2 linked regions of the Diceros bicornis minor genome follow. The main gene of each other region encodes a partner of the protein of the gene in region 2 in a complex. Links are inferred from orthologs where the notes say so. Each region holds a gene or a part of one and is shown on either strand. Other genes may lie near its edges.

Region 1 (8,911 bases), on a different chromosome or scaffold from region 2:
CCCACCCCACCCCACCCCCACTTCAAGAGCCTTAGGCCACCGAAGAGCATTGTTTACTATCCTGTTGGTACAACACTTTCCCCTGGCCTGCGAGGCTCAGATTTCCCATAAAGATCTGACAGGTGGCACCTTTCAATCACAGCACGTCCCTCCCTCCCTGACCCTGGCAGCATCCGTCCTACGGTCATCTTTCTTCCCAATGTACTCGCCTGGCCCTGGCAACCCTGGAAACCATCTGCAGGCCCCTTTGGAGCATGGTCACCAGCACTCTGGCCTCCCCTGCCCTTCCAGAGCCCAGGCCAGGCCTCCTCTGCTTCCTTCATCCCCCAATTCCCCCATACTCCTTTAAATAGTCCCTTTTGCTCTTCCTCAGACAAAAGCAGCTGTTGAAGGGTGGGCTAAGGAGGGGGTGAATGGGACAGCTGCAGACTTGGGGGATGTGTCTCAGGGATCACACTGGAGAGAGATTTGGAGCGGGGAGGGGCAAAGAGAAGAGCCATGGCCCAAGTTGATGGGTCGCTGGGCTTAGAGTTCTAGAAAATACAAACCTGAGTTCTATTTTGAACTGAAGTGACTGGTACACAGTAGGCTCTGAACAAATTTTTATACTGAATTGAGATTTAGCTCTGAAAAAACAGAATAAATCTTTGCCTTCTCTATATGCCCTGTGATCTGAAAAAGGTACTACTTTTGGAGAATGTGTGCAAGGGACACCCCTACCACTGACAAAGCTTGTGACTCCCCCAACTGCCTTCCGAGGTCCCCACCACTTGAGCCATACTGGCCTCCTTCCTGTTCCTTCAACAAATTGATTCCTTTCCATACTCAGGACTGTAACCTTTTTGCTTCTGCTTATTGTGAGATGGGTTCCTTCTCATTCTTCTACTCTCAGCTCAAATTTCATTTCCTCAGAGAGGTCTCCATGACCTTCAGTTCCTCTCCATTATTTCAGCCTGTTTTATTTTCTTCATAATATTTATTGGAATCCAAAATTCCCTTATTCATTTCCTTAGTATCTGACTCTCTCACTAGACTCTAAGCTCCATGAGAATAGGAATTTTAGCTACCATGTTCATGGCTATGTGCTCAGGGCCTAGCCAATCGCCTGGTTCATATGAGGTGCTCAACAAATATATATTGAATAAATAAAATAGCTAATAGAAATATGGAATAGGAACTTGGGGCCTATGCCTGGGATGATCTGAAAGCCAGGTCTGGGTACCAATGGTTGAACAGTCCGATATTGATGGTTACCAGATGTCTCCTTCACCCATCTAGAGTTTATCTGCCCAACATTGGTGAGCTTTTCCACACATCTCTCTGGCCTGCTGTTCTATCTGACCACCCCACTATCTGACCCCTTTGAATCCAGCACTCTCCTTAGAGGGCCCCCGAGCTCCCACCCAGCTCTGCCATCCATGGCTCTGGCTTACTCTGCCGTGGAGAAGGCCCGGGTGAAGTTGTGCCGGCGCTACATGGGGTCCAGCACAGAGTAGTCAAAGGCACTGGGGAAGAATTTGTGGATGAGGGCGCAGAAGGCCATGCCACTGCTCCAGCTTGAGGAAAAGTTCTGGATGTCCACGTGCTGTGGGCAAGTGGGGCCCAGAGCAGGCCTTGGTGAGCCTCAGGCCAGGGGGCCTGGACTTTGCCCCTCTGAGTCTCCTTCCCTCTGGGCTTTGTACCACTCAGACCCTCCCCAGCACTACTGCCCTGGGGAAAGGTCCCCTGCCCCACCCCTATGTCCCTGTTCCAGCCTCACCTCGTATTTTTTTGTCATGGCCCGGCATGAACTGAGGTGGAGAAACCAGTCAGGAGACTACTGCAGTAACCCAGCAAGATGGTGGTGGCTTGGACCACAGCATCAGCAGGGCAGGTGAGGAGAAGAGATGCGAATGGTAATAGTGGATGACAGTGATTAAGACCGTGCCAGCCTTCTTTTCTAGCTAATAGAATAACCATTCTGTTCCAGCCAATGGTGTTCTTATTCTCTCATCTCCTGCTCATCTCAGGGAAGTCCACCTAGGCTGTCTCTCATGAGTGGTCAGGGCCCATATGCGATCCTAGGTGACAACGCTCCATCCCTTCCTCTGGGGTATGGTCTCACCCAAGAGGATAAGACTGACTCATGGTGAGTAACAAATACACAATCCCCCTCTGGGAGGTTGGGAGGCTGGGAATGGGGAGAACACAGCATAGAATGAGGGACCAGAGCTTCAGCATGGTCCTGACAGAGGTCAGCAGTTTTGGATGATGTATCTGGATTCCAAAGAGATCTTGGAAGGCTGGGGCTGTATAAACTGTCTTTTACAAGAAGAAACTTAACAGGGACAATTGGAGACTCCTACTTAAAAGGTCCTCAAATCTCCAACTGTATAAATATAGGAAGGAAAAGATACAGTCTCATAGTAGATGGTAACAATAACATCATCATCAGTAAGAACAATGATTTCCCAGGTGGTGAGGGGAGGGGAAAACATGGAGTTGCTGTTCAATGACTGTAAAGTTTCAGTTATTCAAGACGAATAAGTTCTTGAGATCTGCTGTACAACATTGTGCCTACGGTTAACAATATTGTATTGTGCACTTAAAAGTTTGTTAAGATGGTAGATCTCATGTTAAGTGTTCTTGCCACATTAAAAAAGAGACAGTTTTGAGAAATTGGGAGAAATTGAATATATGCATTAGATTATATTAATAAATTACCATAATTTTGAAAATGGCATTGTGGAAAAAAGACTTTATCTGTTAGAAATAAAAATAGATGAGGAAAATATGGCTAAATATTAACAATTGTTAAATCCTGATGATGGGTATGTGTAAGTTCCACATACTGTTCTCTCCTCTTTTCTGTATGTTTTAAGTTAGCCCTAATAAAAGTCTAAAAATAAAAAAAAAAGAACAATGATTTGTATTGAGCGTCTGCCATGGACTGGGTGCTTTAAGTACATTATCTTTTTTGTAATGATTTGTTAAGCTTTTTATTTTGAAATGATTATAGGTTTACAGGAAGTTGCATAAATAGCACAGAGAGGGTATTGAAGGTTAAATCTTACTTAAGATTTATCCACTGAAGGTTAAATCTTACATAACTATATGCACTATCAAAGCCAGGAAATTGACATTGGTAGAATGGTGTGTATAGTTCTATGACATTTTATCACATGCATAGATTTGTATGAACACCTCCACCATCACCACAAAGATCTCCTTTGGGCTACCCCTTTAAAGGCACACCTCCCTCCTCCCCTCACTAACTCTAACCCCGGGCAACCACTAATCTCTTCTCCATCTCTACAATTTTGTCATTTGAGAATGTTATTTAAATGGATATACAGTACGTAATCTTTCATAACACCTTTCATAACCTTTCATTCCTCTTGTAAGAACTCGTCTCCTTTTTCCATGCAATTTCTTAATATTCCATATGTTGACTATATTCTCAAAAGCAAAAACCAGGGCAACATATGTCCATTAAAACATATGTACGATAATATTGAAAGCAGCATTATCATAATAGCCCCAAACTGGAAACAACCCAAAAGTCCATCAACAGGAGAATGGATAAATGAATTGTGGCTTATTCATACAATCAAACACTAGACAGCAATAAGAAAGAATGAATAACAGACATGCATAACAATATGAATGAAATCTTACAGACTGCATTGAGTTAAAGTCAGGCAAGAAACAGAAAATCATGTATAATTCCATTCACATGAAGTTCAAGTGTAGGCAAACCTAATTGAAGATGATAGAAGTCAGAATAGCTGCTAACTGCAGGAGAGGGGGTGTTGACTGGGAAGGAACCTCAGATAACTTTTTAGAGTTCTAGAAGTATTTTGCATCTTGATCTGAGTGGTGGTTTTAAGAATGAATATACCTTTAAAAATTAAGCTTAAGATTCATGTATTTTACTCACTTTGCTGTATGAATGTTATACCTCAATTTTAGTGTCAAGTTACAGACTTTGACAAAGATGAGCCCTTAGAGCAGAAATGAGGCCCAGTGATGAAAATCGGACTTTCTTGGGCAATTAGGAAAGCATATGGTGACCAATCACATAAAGTGTCCAGCCTACCTTCTCCAACGGGCAGTGTACCCTTGCATCATTAATCTGCATCTTCTAAATTTCGTTTATTGGGAAATCTCTTGAAAAATCAAGGGTTGAAGCAGGTTTTTTTGTTGTGGGGGAAGTGCAGATCGAGGGATACATTGTCTTGAAAGATGAAGAGTTCACAAGCACCCTCTTTCTTTCTCACCCAGATGTACTAGGTTAGCTCTAATGGCAGCCAAAATTGCTTCTATTCATCTCTTTATGGCCCAGGGCGTCTAACAGAAGTCGAATAAAACACTGTATACACGTCTCATCTTTCTGCAAGCAGGAACTGTGCCTTGCTTATCTTTGCAACCCCAAAGAAAGCTTAGTGACCCACACACAGCTGTATTCACACAGTCCCTTGGAGCACTGGTTCTTAAACTTGGCTGCACATAGGAATCACCTGGGTCCTACTCCCAGAGATTCTGAATTAACTGGTATGAGGTGAGGCCTGGGCATCGAGATTTTTTACAGCGTCCCAGGTGACCCTAATATGCAGCACAAACTGAGAACTGCTGCTTGGGGGCGTTCCTTCTTCTCCACGCCTGATTTGTGCTCAGGCGTCAGCTCTCTGGAGGTGAGGGAGAGGTGAGGGCGAAGTTCACTGAGCTCTGTCATCCGGCCCCTTTCTACAGAACCAATAGACTCAAACCTTTCCGCGGCAACCCGGCCGACTTGACAACAGGGAGTGCGGGCGCTCTGCGCCCTGCCCAAGCCTCTATGGTGTTTTGGCGTCCCCTCTAGCATTTGCAAATCGCCTTCGCCTTCAGTCGCGGCCGGCCGCTCTCTATGGTAGCCGATTTCCCAGCGCCGCCTCCTTGGTCCTTCATTCCGGAAGCCAGTCTGGATCAAAGAGGCGGGACTTCCCTCCCGGAAGTGACCCACGTGCTTCCGTTTTAGTCTCCCGGGGCGCCCGGTGAATTTCTAGTGTTTGGGCGAAGTTGGGGACACCGAGAGTATTGTGACCGGCCACAGGCCGTGGTGAGTGACCATCAAGGTGACCTTGATGATGGCCCCGCCTTTTCAGGGGTGAGGCCCCTGGGCCGGGGCCCGGGCGCGTTAGCTTGGCGTATGATCGGATTCCCAGCGCCCCAGAGGTTCAGGCCAGCGGTTTAGAGGGTTCGGTTCCGGTCTTTCGATCTGCTCCTGGGTAGAGGTGACCTCGAGGGACTGGGCGTCAGGGCTCCGGGGCTTGATTTTCAGCCCCGCCGTTGACGTGCTGTGTGACCTTGGGCTAGGCAGTGTTCCCTTTCCGGGCCTAAGTTTCCACATCTGCGAAATGGGGTGGCTGAACTCACTGATGTCAGTGGCCCCTGCCGGTCTGATGCCTTGTGATTGCCCCGCATCCTCTAGCCTCTAGGATGGGAAAGTGAACGGGAGGGGTGGTTGCTGACGGTGATGTCTGCTCCCAGGACAAGGAGACCAGAAGGAGATCTCCTCGACGGTGCAGGGCTGAGATGGATCCGCTCAGGGCCCAGCAGCTGGCGGCGGAGCTGGAGGTAGAGATGATGGCTGATATGTACAACAGGTAAAAATCGACTCTGTGCTACCTTGTCTTAGAGATTGATCCTGGGTCGCCCATTCAGAGGGCAGAGGTGGATGACTTCTGAAAAATGCTTTCCTCCATCTAGGCCCGTGCTTACCACTGCCCGCACCCACTCACCCCCACTTTCCGTGGTTGAGGATTAATGCAGCCGCAGTATGGGGTCACTAGAACGAGTTGAGCATTTAGATTGGGATGGAATTGGCGATAAAGGAGCCGAGTGGGAAGTGAAGCTCCAGTCCAGGCTCTGGTTAGCTTCAAGAACAGTTGAGCATTTACCTGTTGACAAAGAGCCCGCAGCCCACTTAGTAGTTCATGTTTCTTAAACCCGGTCTCTACCTCAGGTGCTTGCTGAGCATTTTACACGCATTATCTTTTTTCATCTTCAAACTAATCCACTGGGTTAATTTTCCTTGTCCCATTTTAAGGTGAGGGCATCGAGGCTTCTAGAGCTTCAATGACTTTCTCAGGGTCCACAGCTGGTCAGTAGCAATGTCAGGACCAGTACCTCACTCTGACTCCAAACTAGTCCCGTAACCATTTGGCAAATGAGGGAACAAATCGTAGCTCCACCAGTCACCCCCAGTATGGTCTTGGGCAAGTTACTTGGACTGTTTGACCGGTGGTTTCCCCATCTATAAAATGGAGATAATAGTACCTACCTCGTAGGGACATCATAAATATTAAATGTAAAAACGTATGACAAGCTCTTAGCATCAAGCCCAACACATAGCAAGCAGTCAACTAAGGTTTGCTATTTTTATTGGCTTAAGCTCTCTGGTAGCCTCTCTTGATTAGTTGGTTTATCTTGGAGGATATATATTGGAATAATTTTTAAATGTAGGCTGTGAGGTCACACTACCTGGGTTCAGCTCCCGGCTGTATGGGAACCTGCGGCCCTCTGTGCCTTCAGTTCCTTATCTGTCAAATGGGGGTAATGGCCGTGCCTGCCTCGTAGGGTTATTAGAAGGATTGCATAACAGAATCCATGTCAGCTCTTAGCATGATGCCTGGAACGTAGCTAGTACTCAACTAATGGTTCTTCTTTAATTAGTCATAAACATGGGCTCAAACAAGGTTCCTCCTTTCAAGGAACTTTCAAGATGGTTGAGGTGCAAATTGAGGATATACAATACCTTCTTGGGAGGTGGAATCCGTACAGCAGGGCAGGAATGGTGGAGAGTTCCTGGTGCGCCTCGGGATGCTGCTAACCTGACCTTGCCCTTCCTTCCCCCTAGAATGACCAGTGCCTGCCACCGGAAGTGTGTTCCTCCCCACTACAAGGAAGCAGAACTGTCCAAGGGCGAGTCCGTGTGCCTGGACCGGTGTGTCTCCAAGTACCTGGACATCCATGAGCGGATGGGCAAAAAGTTGACAGAGTTGTCAATGCAGGATGAAGAGCTGATGAAGAGGGTGCAGCAGAGCTCTGGGCCCGCGTGAGGCCCCAGACAGAATACACCCCAAGGTGCACCGTGCCCCTTCCCACTTGTCTAATAAAAATGCCCGCACTGGGTGTCATCTCTGAAGACTGCCAGGCCTAGGCTCTCTCTGGAGAGTCTGCAGGAGACTGGAGTATGGTAGAGCTCTCTTCTGGTCGAAGAAGGGGTATTTGTCACACTGGAATGTGACTGTGTATGTGTGTGTGTATATATATTAAAGCAAGTTTGTTGACACCTACTGTGTGCAAAGCCGTGTGCCTGGCGCTTGGGAGTAAAGGCAGCAGACACAGCCTCTACCAGCAGAGGGAGTCTGATGTAGCGTTTAAAAGTATAGACTAGCGTGATGGCTTAGGTTAGCACCCCAGGTGGCCACTTGCTGTGTGACCCTGAACATGTCACTGCACTGTGCTTTAGCTTTGTCATCTGTAGAATGGGGATAATTATAGGGTTCCTGTGAGGATTAAGTGAGTTAATATGTGTAAGGCATTTAGAATAGTGACTGGGGCATAGGAAGTGCTCAGTGAGTATTAATTTTATATATATATGTTTAAATATCAACTTAAAATTTAGTGGAGGCAGGCAGGCATTTTCACAAATGATATAAAGGAATGATTTAGAAGAGAGGGTGAAAAGTAGATGGAATGTAAGAAGGAAGTAGCCAACCTCTTGGTTCTAAATTGCAAGACTGAAACATGTGAGGGGACCCAGCTTCTTGTGTGATGTGAGTGACCCTGCCTGGTAAGTGATCAGAGAGGGGACTGAGTGATGGCCACTGCCGTTCAGGCTCGCCTGGATCGGGACTGCGCTCCTCTTCGTATGACATCCAGTCTGACCTGCCTATCTGGGCTAAAGGTCCTAGTAGAAAATGGAGGCTCAGAGGGGTGGTTGCCTGTGGAGGGCACATGAGGGGAGCAATCACGTGGAGGCTGGGGCTGACTGCTGCATTTGCTATTTCGCTGGGGAGAGGCCACATCTCATTACTGTCCTGAGGAGTGCACTTGAATTGTGCAGCTTTCAGAATGTATGGATCTCTCACTCCAGGTGGGATTTTGGTTGACATCACTGCTGCTGGGATGGCAGTCCCTTCACATGGGTCTTCACGGTGGAAGGAAGTATCTGGGAGATAAACTCACCAGGTCATTGGGGTGGAGTAAAGGAAACAGAATAGAAGTATTGAGTTTGGGGCTCAAAAGTGCAGGTTGAAGCCAGACCGCCTGGGGTGAAATTTTCTAGCTGTCTGATCTTGAGTGAGGTTTTCACTGCCCTGTGCATCAGTTACCCCACCTATAAATTGGCAATAAAGGTACCTACCTCATTGAGTGGTTGTGAAAATTAAATGTGTTAATAGCTAAGCCCTTAGGAAAGTGCCTAGCTCTCTCACGTTAAGTACTCAATAATGTTAGCTTTTTTTTTTTTTTTATTGCTAAGTTTGGTGTGAAGAGACACCGGATAGGCCCTCAGGAAGCTTCAGAACCATCTACCTTCCTGGTTGGTGGGCAGAGAGCTAAGGCTTGTTTTTTAGGTACTGAAGGGCAAATTTGGGTCAACAGGTGGCGCTGTCTGCTCACAGACTCAGCCCTGCAAATGCGTATTCTCTGCCTGTTCTATGTGGGCGTTGTGCTAGGAAGAGGGGAGTGGTGAGGAAAGTAGATATTGTACCTGCCCTTGAGTTTAGTAAGGAATATCAAAAATCTTCTGATAGCACATAGCTGGACCATCTGGAAGGGATGGTAGGAGTGGAGAGAACAGTACTTGCAAAGGCTCTGAAGTGGCAGAGTAGTGTGGAGCATTCAAGAAACAAAGCTTCAGTGTGCCTGGAGTGCTAAGCGTGAA
Region 2 (8,949 bases):
GTTAAGTTCTAAAGCCGCAATGGTGGGAACACCAACGCTGTTTCCAATGTTTGTGATAAAGGGATAAAGCTTTGTCAACATTTATTCTTGTGTTGTACTTGAGACATCACCATTGCTCTCATTATGCCAATGACTACGGTTTATGGCAAGACCTAAGGGCGAGATTTCCACAACTATGGAAGATGGATGGTAGGAATAAGGTACTTCTAAGTATCAAACATATTTATAAATAGGAGCAAGAACCAGGACAGAAAAGATTGAAAATTTAAGGGACTAATTGATGGATCAGATTGAGGGCCACTTGTTTTTCCATGCCTAAGGACTGGATGGGTGCAGATGAGCAAGCAAATATAAACTGTGGAATTTCAAAGAACATAGGCTTTAGAGTCAGACAGATCTATGTTCCTAGCCCTGCTCCAGCAATTACTAATTATGTGACCTGGAAACACAGATAATTCACAAGGGAAGTTTACTGCAAGGATACACACAAATGTTAATGTAGAAGAATTCTCCCACCAGCAGCACAATATCCCAGGGCCTCATTCCCATCTCTGGGAATTGGTAAATTCAAAAGATGGTTTACTTGCATTTATACTTTCCAAGGACAGAATTTTATTGGGTAGACATGAAGCCAGTCAATAGGAAAGTTCCTGCTCAGCAACTTTTACGTTCCTAATAAATTTTTCTGTTCAAGAGACAGCAGCTAAGGAGGCAAAAAGCTGATTGCAACCACTCTTCTTAATAGGTAACTGTATAAGATGGGCTTCTGGTACATTCTGGATTCTTGCTTCCTCATCTGTCAAGTGGGGATAATACCTCTTACTTATAGTTTTGTTGTAAAGATTAACTAAGATAAAGCATAACATATACCAACATCAGAACCTATACAAACTGGGTGCTCAATAGGTATTACTTTGAGAGGCAGCCTAGTGTAGTAAAAAGCACATGGATTTTAAAGTCAGATCTGCATTTTAATACAGAGTCTGCTACTGGAGAATTTCACCTCCCTGATCCGTAGAGAAGAGAGAACATCTGCTTTGTGGGTGGTCATAAGGAGTTTTTGATTATTCTGGGAACTAATGTCTAAGAGCTTCCATTTCCTCTGTAAAAAATGAAACGTGTTCACCTGATGGGGGATAGTTGAGGGTGAGGTGGAGGATTAAGGAGAGCAGTGAAGGTGTAAAATCACTGCCATGTTGATTAGGAGAGGGAATAGACCAGGAACTCATACAGGGTTGCTTGTTGGTAGTGAGGGCTTGGTTGGGGTTGCAGACCTTGAACATTTAGTGGCATTCATTACACAGCTGTGTTTTCCTCTAACGGCTTGAATGAGGAATAGAAAAGATAAAACAGCTGAAATGACACAAAAAGGACACAAGGGTGGCAAGAAAATGTGTTGATGGAGTGCCATTCAGACTGCTAAGTACAGAAGTAAACTCCACAAGAGGGCCAATAATGAGAAAAGAATGTAGAAGATGGAATTAGAAATCACAGAATGGGTACAGTGGGAACAAGGTGGGGTAGAAGTTAGGGGAGCTAGAATTAGATTACAGACAAGCAGTGAGACATTAAGGTAATATTAAAGAGGTCCCAAAGATTTCGCTTTATCCTTGTTTTTTCCCATAACCACCACCATCTATTTCTCCCTTAGATTTCTCTCCTTCAAGTCTGACTGTATTACAGAATACAGTCCCCCAAGTTTTCCCTTTTCTGACTGCCCCTGAAGACAAGGCATATAGACCTTCTTTGTTTAAAGGTTTTACTGCTCATCCAGGGAAGACACAAAATAGTAACAAAGTAACAACTTGAAGAAATGGTGGAAGTTCCGGAAAACCCCAAAATTCTTACAGGTTTCATCTCTGTCCTGGGGCTACTGACTTCCCAGAAGGTAGTGCCTAAAAGCCCTGTGGTTTCTTGATCTGTTGTCCTTAGATACTGCCTCCTTTCCCTAAATCTGGCAAAATTCCTTCTTGTAAGACACAGTCCATGAAAAAACAGTTATGAAGGAACGCATATCTGGCTCAAAAGTGGGCCGTTTAAGTCAGAGAGGTTTAAGTTAAGGACAACTAGAGAGAGCTCCCATTTTCTCTGTCTTCTGGGCAGAAACCAACTTCCTGTTGCTATTATTAACCTTAAAACTATACCCACAGACCTTGCTTTAACCAGCTGCCTGGGAATGCTGAGGTTTTCCTTCCAGACATAGAAGGCAATTTCCCACCTGCCAGGGCTGAAGCCAGCAGATATGCACTAACTGACAAAACAAAGCATGGTCCCAATAAAGTGGGCAAAGCTTCCCTGCCCAGAATATAAATGAAACAGAGTAAAAGCGGGTTTATTGGCTCCAGGAAAAGGAGCAATGGCACCCAGCTCTCAAGCAACTCTCTCTCTATACAGGCCGCACCCAGCCCAAGGTCTACTGGCTCCTTCAATTTGAGGGTCCATCAAGCGCCTCCCTTCCTGGGGTTGGGGATGGCTAGCTGCCTGATGGCGAGGTTCCGGGCTGTTCAGCAGCAACACCTGGCACAGCTGAGGCAGCCTCGTAGTCTGCGATGCGGCGCTGTACCAGAGCAGGCATGAGTTGCACGTAAGCGGCCATGAGGCGGTGGTTGGAATGGATCAGCTTCCCAGCACAGCTGTGCAGACATGCCTCCTGGAAGGAAGACAGGGTGGAAGTAGAGGCCAAAGGTGTCCTGTCAGGTCCGTCTCCTTCCTTCCCATCCCCAGCCTAGGAGCAAGGGGTCGTGGAAAGGCCAGGGCCAGAGATGGGGGAAGTGAGGGAAGGAGGGAGCAGCCTACCCTCTCTACTCAGGTCCCCACCTCCTCAGCATCCAGAGCTCGGTGGTGCAGGCTGGGCACGCAGCGCTGGAAGCAGAGTTCCGTCATGCGATTGTAGACCAACAGGAAGTCCCGTAACTGGGAGAAAAGGAGACCAAGAACTCAGAGACAAGGGGGCCCGCATCTCAATTCAAGCCGCGCCGCCCACGGTTTCCCAGCACCGAGCACCACAGCCCGACGTTTCCAGCCCTCGGACCCCTGGCTCTTTGGGGTTCCCGCCACGCGGACGTGGATGCCAGCTGAAAGTATACCCCCTCAGCGACTGAGCTCCCACTCACGTTTCTCAGCTGTTGCTGCTGCTGCTGCTGCTCCATCACGCCGCCGGCGCGCGGCTACGTCACTTCCGTTACAGCTTCTCGGTAACGCCCCGGAAGTAAGCTCTCGTAGCTCCCCAAGGAATGAGGAGTTGGCTCAAGGATCGCCCTGCCCCCGGCTGCCAACGTCACCTCCGCCCTTATAATCTGCGACGTGGCCGGCTTCTTCTGCCCGGGAGAGGACGTCACTTCCGCCGAGTCCCTGACCTGCTGCTAGGATCGCGACGGGAACTGGAACCCGAGGTCCCCGCGCCGCCCGGGCCTGGCGCCCTGAGGGGAAGAGCGGCCCGGCCCGAGGTGAGAGGGACGTACTTGGGCAAGGGGAAGTTGAAAGCACAAGCCTGTCCTGAGGGCAAGGTGCCTCTGAGCCCTGAGGAAGGATGAGGGCACACCTGATGCCCAGGTGTATGGGGGGGGCGGGCATTCACACACCTGGAGCGACATAACTGACTTTGAAAGGGATCACCTATATCCTGGGAAAAAGAGGCTTTTCTCAGAGGCCAAGAACAGATACCAACTGATTCAATTAAGGCCTGGGTGTAGGGCAGGAGGTGCATGGCATGGAGGAGGGGGAGACCACCTGAAGGAAAGGGGAACAAACACTAAAAGAGTGTGAAAGGCCAAGCAATGGAGAACATACCTGAATGGGGGTTAGGCACCTGAGCTCTGGAAAGGGGTTCTTCTCCTCATGGGGGGAAACACCTGCATGGGGATAAGCTCCAAGAAAGCACAGACTTTGTCTGTCTCGTTCGCTACTGTATTTCCGTTGCCTCAAATAGTGCATGACACATAGTATGCACTCATTAAATGTCTGTTGGATGATTGAATGCATGAATGATCAATAGAGTCCTGGTGGGGTTGGGAGTCATGAGAAGACACCTGAGGCCTGAGTATGAATGTGTAAAAATATGCGCCTTGGAGGGGAGAAATACATGCCTGAAGAAAGGAGTAGTGGCCAAACCCCAGAACACTCAAGCCCTGGAACAACCTCTCAAACCTATGGAATGGCAGGGGATACCTTCCTCTTCTGTAGTACTGGCCAGTTTCCAGAACTGTCTCTGTTGGGCTTTGCAGGGCGCTGGGGTGGAGACTTTGACTCCAGTCCCTTCCCTAGCCATGACGGACGGGATCCTAGGGAAGGCAGCCACCATGGAGATCCCCATCCATGGCAACGGCGAAGCTGGGCAGCTTCCTGAGGATGATGGGCTGGAGCAGGTGCTTCTGTTTGCTTCTTCTCCGTAATATTTCAATTTAGGAATCCTAATTTATAAACCCTGGGCTCTGACCCCCTATTCCAGTAGGCTTCCCCTAACTTATCTAACTCCCTTCAATCTTTTTATAAATCTTCATTCTGATTCTGTGCAGACTTCCCTTGTGCACTCTCTCTATGATGCTTCAATCCAAGCTTATTCTCATCCCCAAAATGCTTCAGCTGCCCTTATGTTCCTGAAGCCCCCCTCTTCTCTGGCCTATAGGACCTCCAGCAAGTGATGGTGTCAGGACCCAATCTCAATGAAACCAGCATTGTGTCTGGTGGCTATGGGGGCTCTGGTGATGGACTCATCCCCACAGGTATGAATGATCAGAACAGGCCAAGAAGCTTGAGTGGAGAGGGGGAGAGGAATGGTTCTGGGGAGTGTAGTATATATCTAAGAAAGCTTGAATTATGTCCAGAGATCTTGGGAACCTCTGCTAGTATGAACCCTATGGACTCTCCTCAGCCCAAGGCCAGTTACCAGTGTTGTTCAGCTACTCCCACTTGCCATTTAGCCCCTGAGATGCGCCCATTTGTCCTTTCTCTGCTGCCACCACTTGAGTCAAGTTAAGAACTCTGTTTCACAGGAGTTCCCCGTGCTCTGGAGCATGAGGCTGATTTGGAACTCTGTGAGCTTCTCAGAGTTTTACGTTAGACTCTAAAATTTAGAGGAACAAACAGCGCTGAATCTCTCACTGACTAGGATTCCACATGAGCGTGTCAACCAGGTTTCCTGTTATCAAGACCCACCATCCTTGACCTGCCACCCCATACTCAGCATATTTTCTTTTGTTTCCTCTGCCCCTGTACACCAGCAACTCCCTCTCCCCTCCCCATCCAATCTCCACCACCTCAGAAGGAGGCCAGATATATATTGGGATTTGGGTCTCAGGGCCCGAGATATGAGTTCCTCCTAGTGAGTAGGTGAATCTAATTGTGTCTAGCTTCCACTCCTTCAAAGAAGCTGTTTTCATGTGCTGGGAGGGAAGTGTGGGTGGAGCCACAGAGGTGTCTGGTTGTACCCTTGGTCCTTTAGGGTCTGGCCGCCATCCATCTCACAGTGCCACTCCTGCTGGCCCTGGAGATGAGGTGGCTCGGGGCATCGCTGGAGAGAAGTTTGACATTGTCAAGAAATGGGGCATCAACACATATAAGGTGGGATTCAAGCCCCTCTCCCTTCCCCCAAAACTCCCCCTGAGTACCTTTTCCCCACCTTCCAGATCCTAATATCCCATCTGTGGCTAAGACGAGGAGCCTGGGGATGCTGGGGTAGATACCTGTTGGGGAGGCAGGGTGCTAGGGTCTCTGACCTATTCCCCAACTTCCCATTCAGTGCACAAAGCAGCTGTTATCAGAGCGATTTGGCCGAGGCTCCCGGACTGTGGACCTGGAGCTAGAGCTGCAGATTGAGTTGCTGCGTGAGACAAAGCGCAAGTATGAGAGTGTCCTGCAGCTGGGCCGGGCACTGACAGCCCACCTCTACAGCCTGCTGCAGACCCAGCATGCACTAGGTGATGCCTTTGCTGACCTCAGCCAGAAGTCCCCAGAGCTTCAGGTGCCTCAGCCAGGCCAAAGAGGGTGGGGGGGACTGGGCCCAGGCCCTCCTAGGCAGTCTCCCCTCAGCCTCCCTCCCTCACTCCCTCCCTGCAGCCCAGAGGGAGAACCCCTCCAGGGTGGGCCCAGCCCTACCCCCAACAGCACTCACCTGTGGAGTCAGCCTAAGGGTTTGTACAGAGGTCCAGAAGTCGGAGTGGGTGGGGGAGGCAGCACATTAGGTGCCCCACAAGTAACCCTTCTCTGCATAGGTGAGAATGCCTTCGGTGCTCAGCCTAATTGGAGCCCCTCCCTTGCCTGCTGCACTAGCTTTCCCTGTTCTAGTCCTGTGAACTTATCTGAGAACCCCAACCCGACATTCCTACCCTAGGTATCCCCAGGGTGGCCCCACTAACTTTCTGGCTAAGAGCCTTGCTGGAGGCAGTCCTTGACTGTTCCAGTTTCCATGGCTGTTTCCTCCCTGGGGAGGAGGGGAATGAAGGGCTCTACAGTTCTGGTCAGGTAGGGACTGTTACTCAAGGCCTGCCCCCTCCCTTCTGCCCTCAGGAGGAATTTGGCTACAATGCGGAAACGCAGAAGCTGCTGTGCAAGAATGGAGAGACACTGCTAGGGGCTGTGAACTTCTTTGTCTCTAGCATCAACACATTGGTGACCAAGACCATGGAAGACACACTCATGACTGTCAAACAGTATGAGGCTGCCAGGTGTGGGCACTGGCAGGGCCTAGGGTTTGGGGAGTTGGCTGGCATGGGTGGAAGTTTGAGCTTTAAGGGCATAAGAATTGAAGAATGAAAGAAGAGTGTGTGGAGGACAAAGGGGTGGAGACCAGCCTATATCACCTCCTCCCCAGGCTGGAATATGATGCCTACCGAACAGACTTAGAGGAGCTGAGCCTAGGCCCTCGGGATGCAGCGACCCGTGGTCGACTCGAGAGTGCCCAGGCCACTTTCCAGGCCCATCGGGACAAATATGAGAAGCTGCGGGGAGATGTGGCCATCAAGCTCAAGTTCCTGGAAGAAAACAAGGTGCCAACCCCACCCCTTTGACCCAGCCCACCTTTCTGTCTGTAACATTGACCTTTTCCCCAGACCCTCCCCATCACTGGATGGGGAAATGCAGCCTGGCTAAGGAGTGGGATCTTCCCCTAGGCCCCTCAGCCCCTGGTCCTTTCTGATCACCCTCCCTCTGATCCCTGGCCCTATTCTGTTGGAGGATTTGGCTGCTGATCCCAGGAATGTAACTGGGAGAAATCATCCTCTGAGTTGGGGTACCAGAACCCCAGGTCCAGTAGATCAAGTCAGGTTTCTCCCATCGGATTGACCCTTAACTTTTGACTCCCTTGGAGTTCAGCCCCCACCCCAAAAGCACCATCAGAGCAGAGTCCATGTGCCCCTAGTCTGGGCTCAGGCTCGTAGTCCCTCAAGAAGGGCATTTGAGTCCATTCTCAGCTGGCTCTGCTGGACCCCCAGATCAAGGTGATGCACAAGCAGCTGCTGCTCTTCCACAATGCCGTGTCAGCCTACTTTGCTGGGAACCAGAAACAACTGGAGCAGACCCTGCAGCAGTTCAACATCAAGCTGCGGCCTCCTGGAGCTGAGAAGCCCTCCTGGCTAGAGGAGCAGTGAGCTGCTCCCAGCCCAACCTGGCTATCAAGAAGGACATTGGGAGGGGCAGTCCTAGGGTGGGGGAGATTGGACATGGGACATTCCTTGCCACCTGCCCTCTGGCTTGGGTTCCCTTTCCCTGGCTGGGGCCTGACACCAGTTTTGCCCACACTGCTGTGGGTACGGAGGGGGCCTGCAGGCCCAGCAGCTGCTGCCCTGTCCTTTATCTTCCTGGCCACTGGGCTTCATTCCCAGATCTTTTTCTTCTACTCCACAGCCAAAGGCTGTGACAAAATCACTCCCTGGCCAATGGCATCACTCCTCAGGCCTATCCCTAGCTCCTGGGGGTGTGCCCTTTGACCAATGGCAGAGCCTCAAAAGGCCCTGTCAGCCAATGGCAGCTCTTCTTGGGCTCCCCTGGGCCAATGATGTTGCCTCCAGTACCCTTTGTCCCTCCTCTATGCGTGTCCATTGCAGAGAAAGGGACAGGGACCAAAGGGGTGGGGATAATGGGGAGTCCCATTTCTGGCCCTGCATCTGAATGGGCCTCCCCTCATCTACCCACCCAGTTTAATTGTGCTTAGAGCCCTGGAAGATTGGGCCCTAGCACTAGGAATAAACCTTTCATAAAAGCAGGCCCAGTGAGGTCAATTTGTGGGGGACTCTAGGAGGGTGGGCTAGGTGGAAAAATGCTCAGTCTAATCATACACCAAAATCCTATCGAGTTGGAAGAGCTGAGGCCAGAAGCTGAAGTCACATGTTTCAGGAACAGTCTGAGGGCTCATTCCTCCCCCAGCCCAGTTGCAGCCAACGCTTTATTTGCCTTTTAGGCCAGCACCAAGATAGCTATGGATCTTAAAAGCACAGGGCCCAGAGGGGGTTGGGCCCGCTGACCTTCATCATCCATTCATTCATACAGCAAATATTTACTGAGTGCTTTTATTTGCCAAGCACTGCGCTAGACCCTAGGGAAACATCAGTGGATAAGACACGGTCCCTGCCCACAGTGCTTATGGCCTAGTGGGGGATAGAGACAAGTAACCAGGCAACTACCATACAGTGACAAGTACTAGGCTCCAGAAGTGCAGGGAGCTGTGGGAGCCCAGAGGAGGGCATCTAGCCTAGATTGGGGAGGAGATGTCAGCCTGAAAGCTGAGACCTGATGGTGAGTAGAGGGCAGCCAGGCAAAGAATAGGGGGAAGAGCATCCTAGGCAGAGAGGCCAACATATGTGAAGGCCCTGAGTAGGAATCGGGAGGAATTCCATTTGACTGAAAAGTTGGCTAGAGGATGACTACAGAGGTAAAGTAGTAAGACTTCACGCTGGGCCTTTTCCTGCTGGTTAAGGACTTTTGCCTTCTGGAGAAAGGGGAGCTGTGAAGCCTTTT

The links.
Region 1: the proteins of TIMM10B (region 2) and TIMM10 are in contact, whole or in part, in a cryo-EM structure (PDB 7CGP), measured with the Homo sapiens proteins. The link is inferred for Diceros bicornis minor from reciprocal best matches to the Homo sapiens genes TIMM10B and TIMM10. Residues at the interface, in NP_036324.1 of Homo sapiens: Gln7, Leu11, Leu14, Arg15, Phe17, Leu18, Leu19, Tyr21, Asn22, Arg23, Met24, Thr25, Glu26, Cys28, Phe29, Val33, Pro34, Ser35, Leu36, His37, His38, Arg39, Leu41, Glu46, Leu49, His50, Ala53, Gly54, Ile57, His61; in NP_036588.1 of Homo sapiens: Ala6, Leu9, Leu13, Glu16, Met17, Asp20, Met21, Arg24, Ala28, Lys32, Cys50, Asp52, Arg53, Cys54, Ser56, Lys57, Tyr58, Asp60, Ile61, His62, Glu63, Arg64, Met65, Gly66, Lys68, Leu69, Leu72, Asp76.

The regions. Positions count from the first base shown.
Region 1 is NC_080770.1:16,394,484-16,403,394, forward strand, and holds TIMM10 (mitochondrial import inner membrane translocase subunit Tim10), read left to right. Parts: upstream 1-4,979; 5' UTR 4,980-5,077; intron 5,078-5,508; 5' UTR 5,509-5,553; coding exon 5,554-5,624; intron 5,625-6,877; coding exon 6,878-7,079; 3' UTR 7,080-7,312; downstream 7,313-8,911.
Region 2 is NC_080746.1:64,545,814-64,554,762, reverse strand, and holds TIMM10B (mitochondrial import inner membrane translocase subunit Tim10 B), read right to left. Parts: upstream 3,186-8,949; 5' UTR 3,150-3,185; coding exon 3,114-3,149; intron 2,914-3,113; coding exon 2,818-2,913; intron 2,651-2,817; coding exon 2,474-2,650; 3' UTR 1,743-2,473; downstream 1-1,742. Other genes in the region: ARFIP2 (arfaptin-2), read left to right, coding at 4,266-4,364, 4,625-4,721, 5,441-5,559, 5,738-5,959, 6,505-6,662, 6,809-6,983, 7,428-7,583. UniProt on the Homo sapiens protein: Component of the TIM22 complex, a complex that mediates the import and insertion of multi-pass transmembrane proteins into the mitochondrial inner membrane.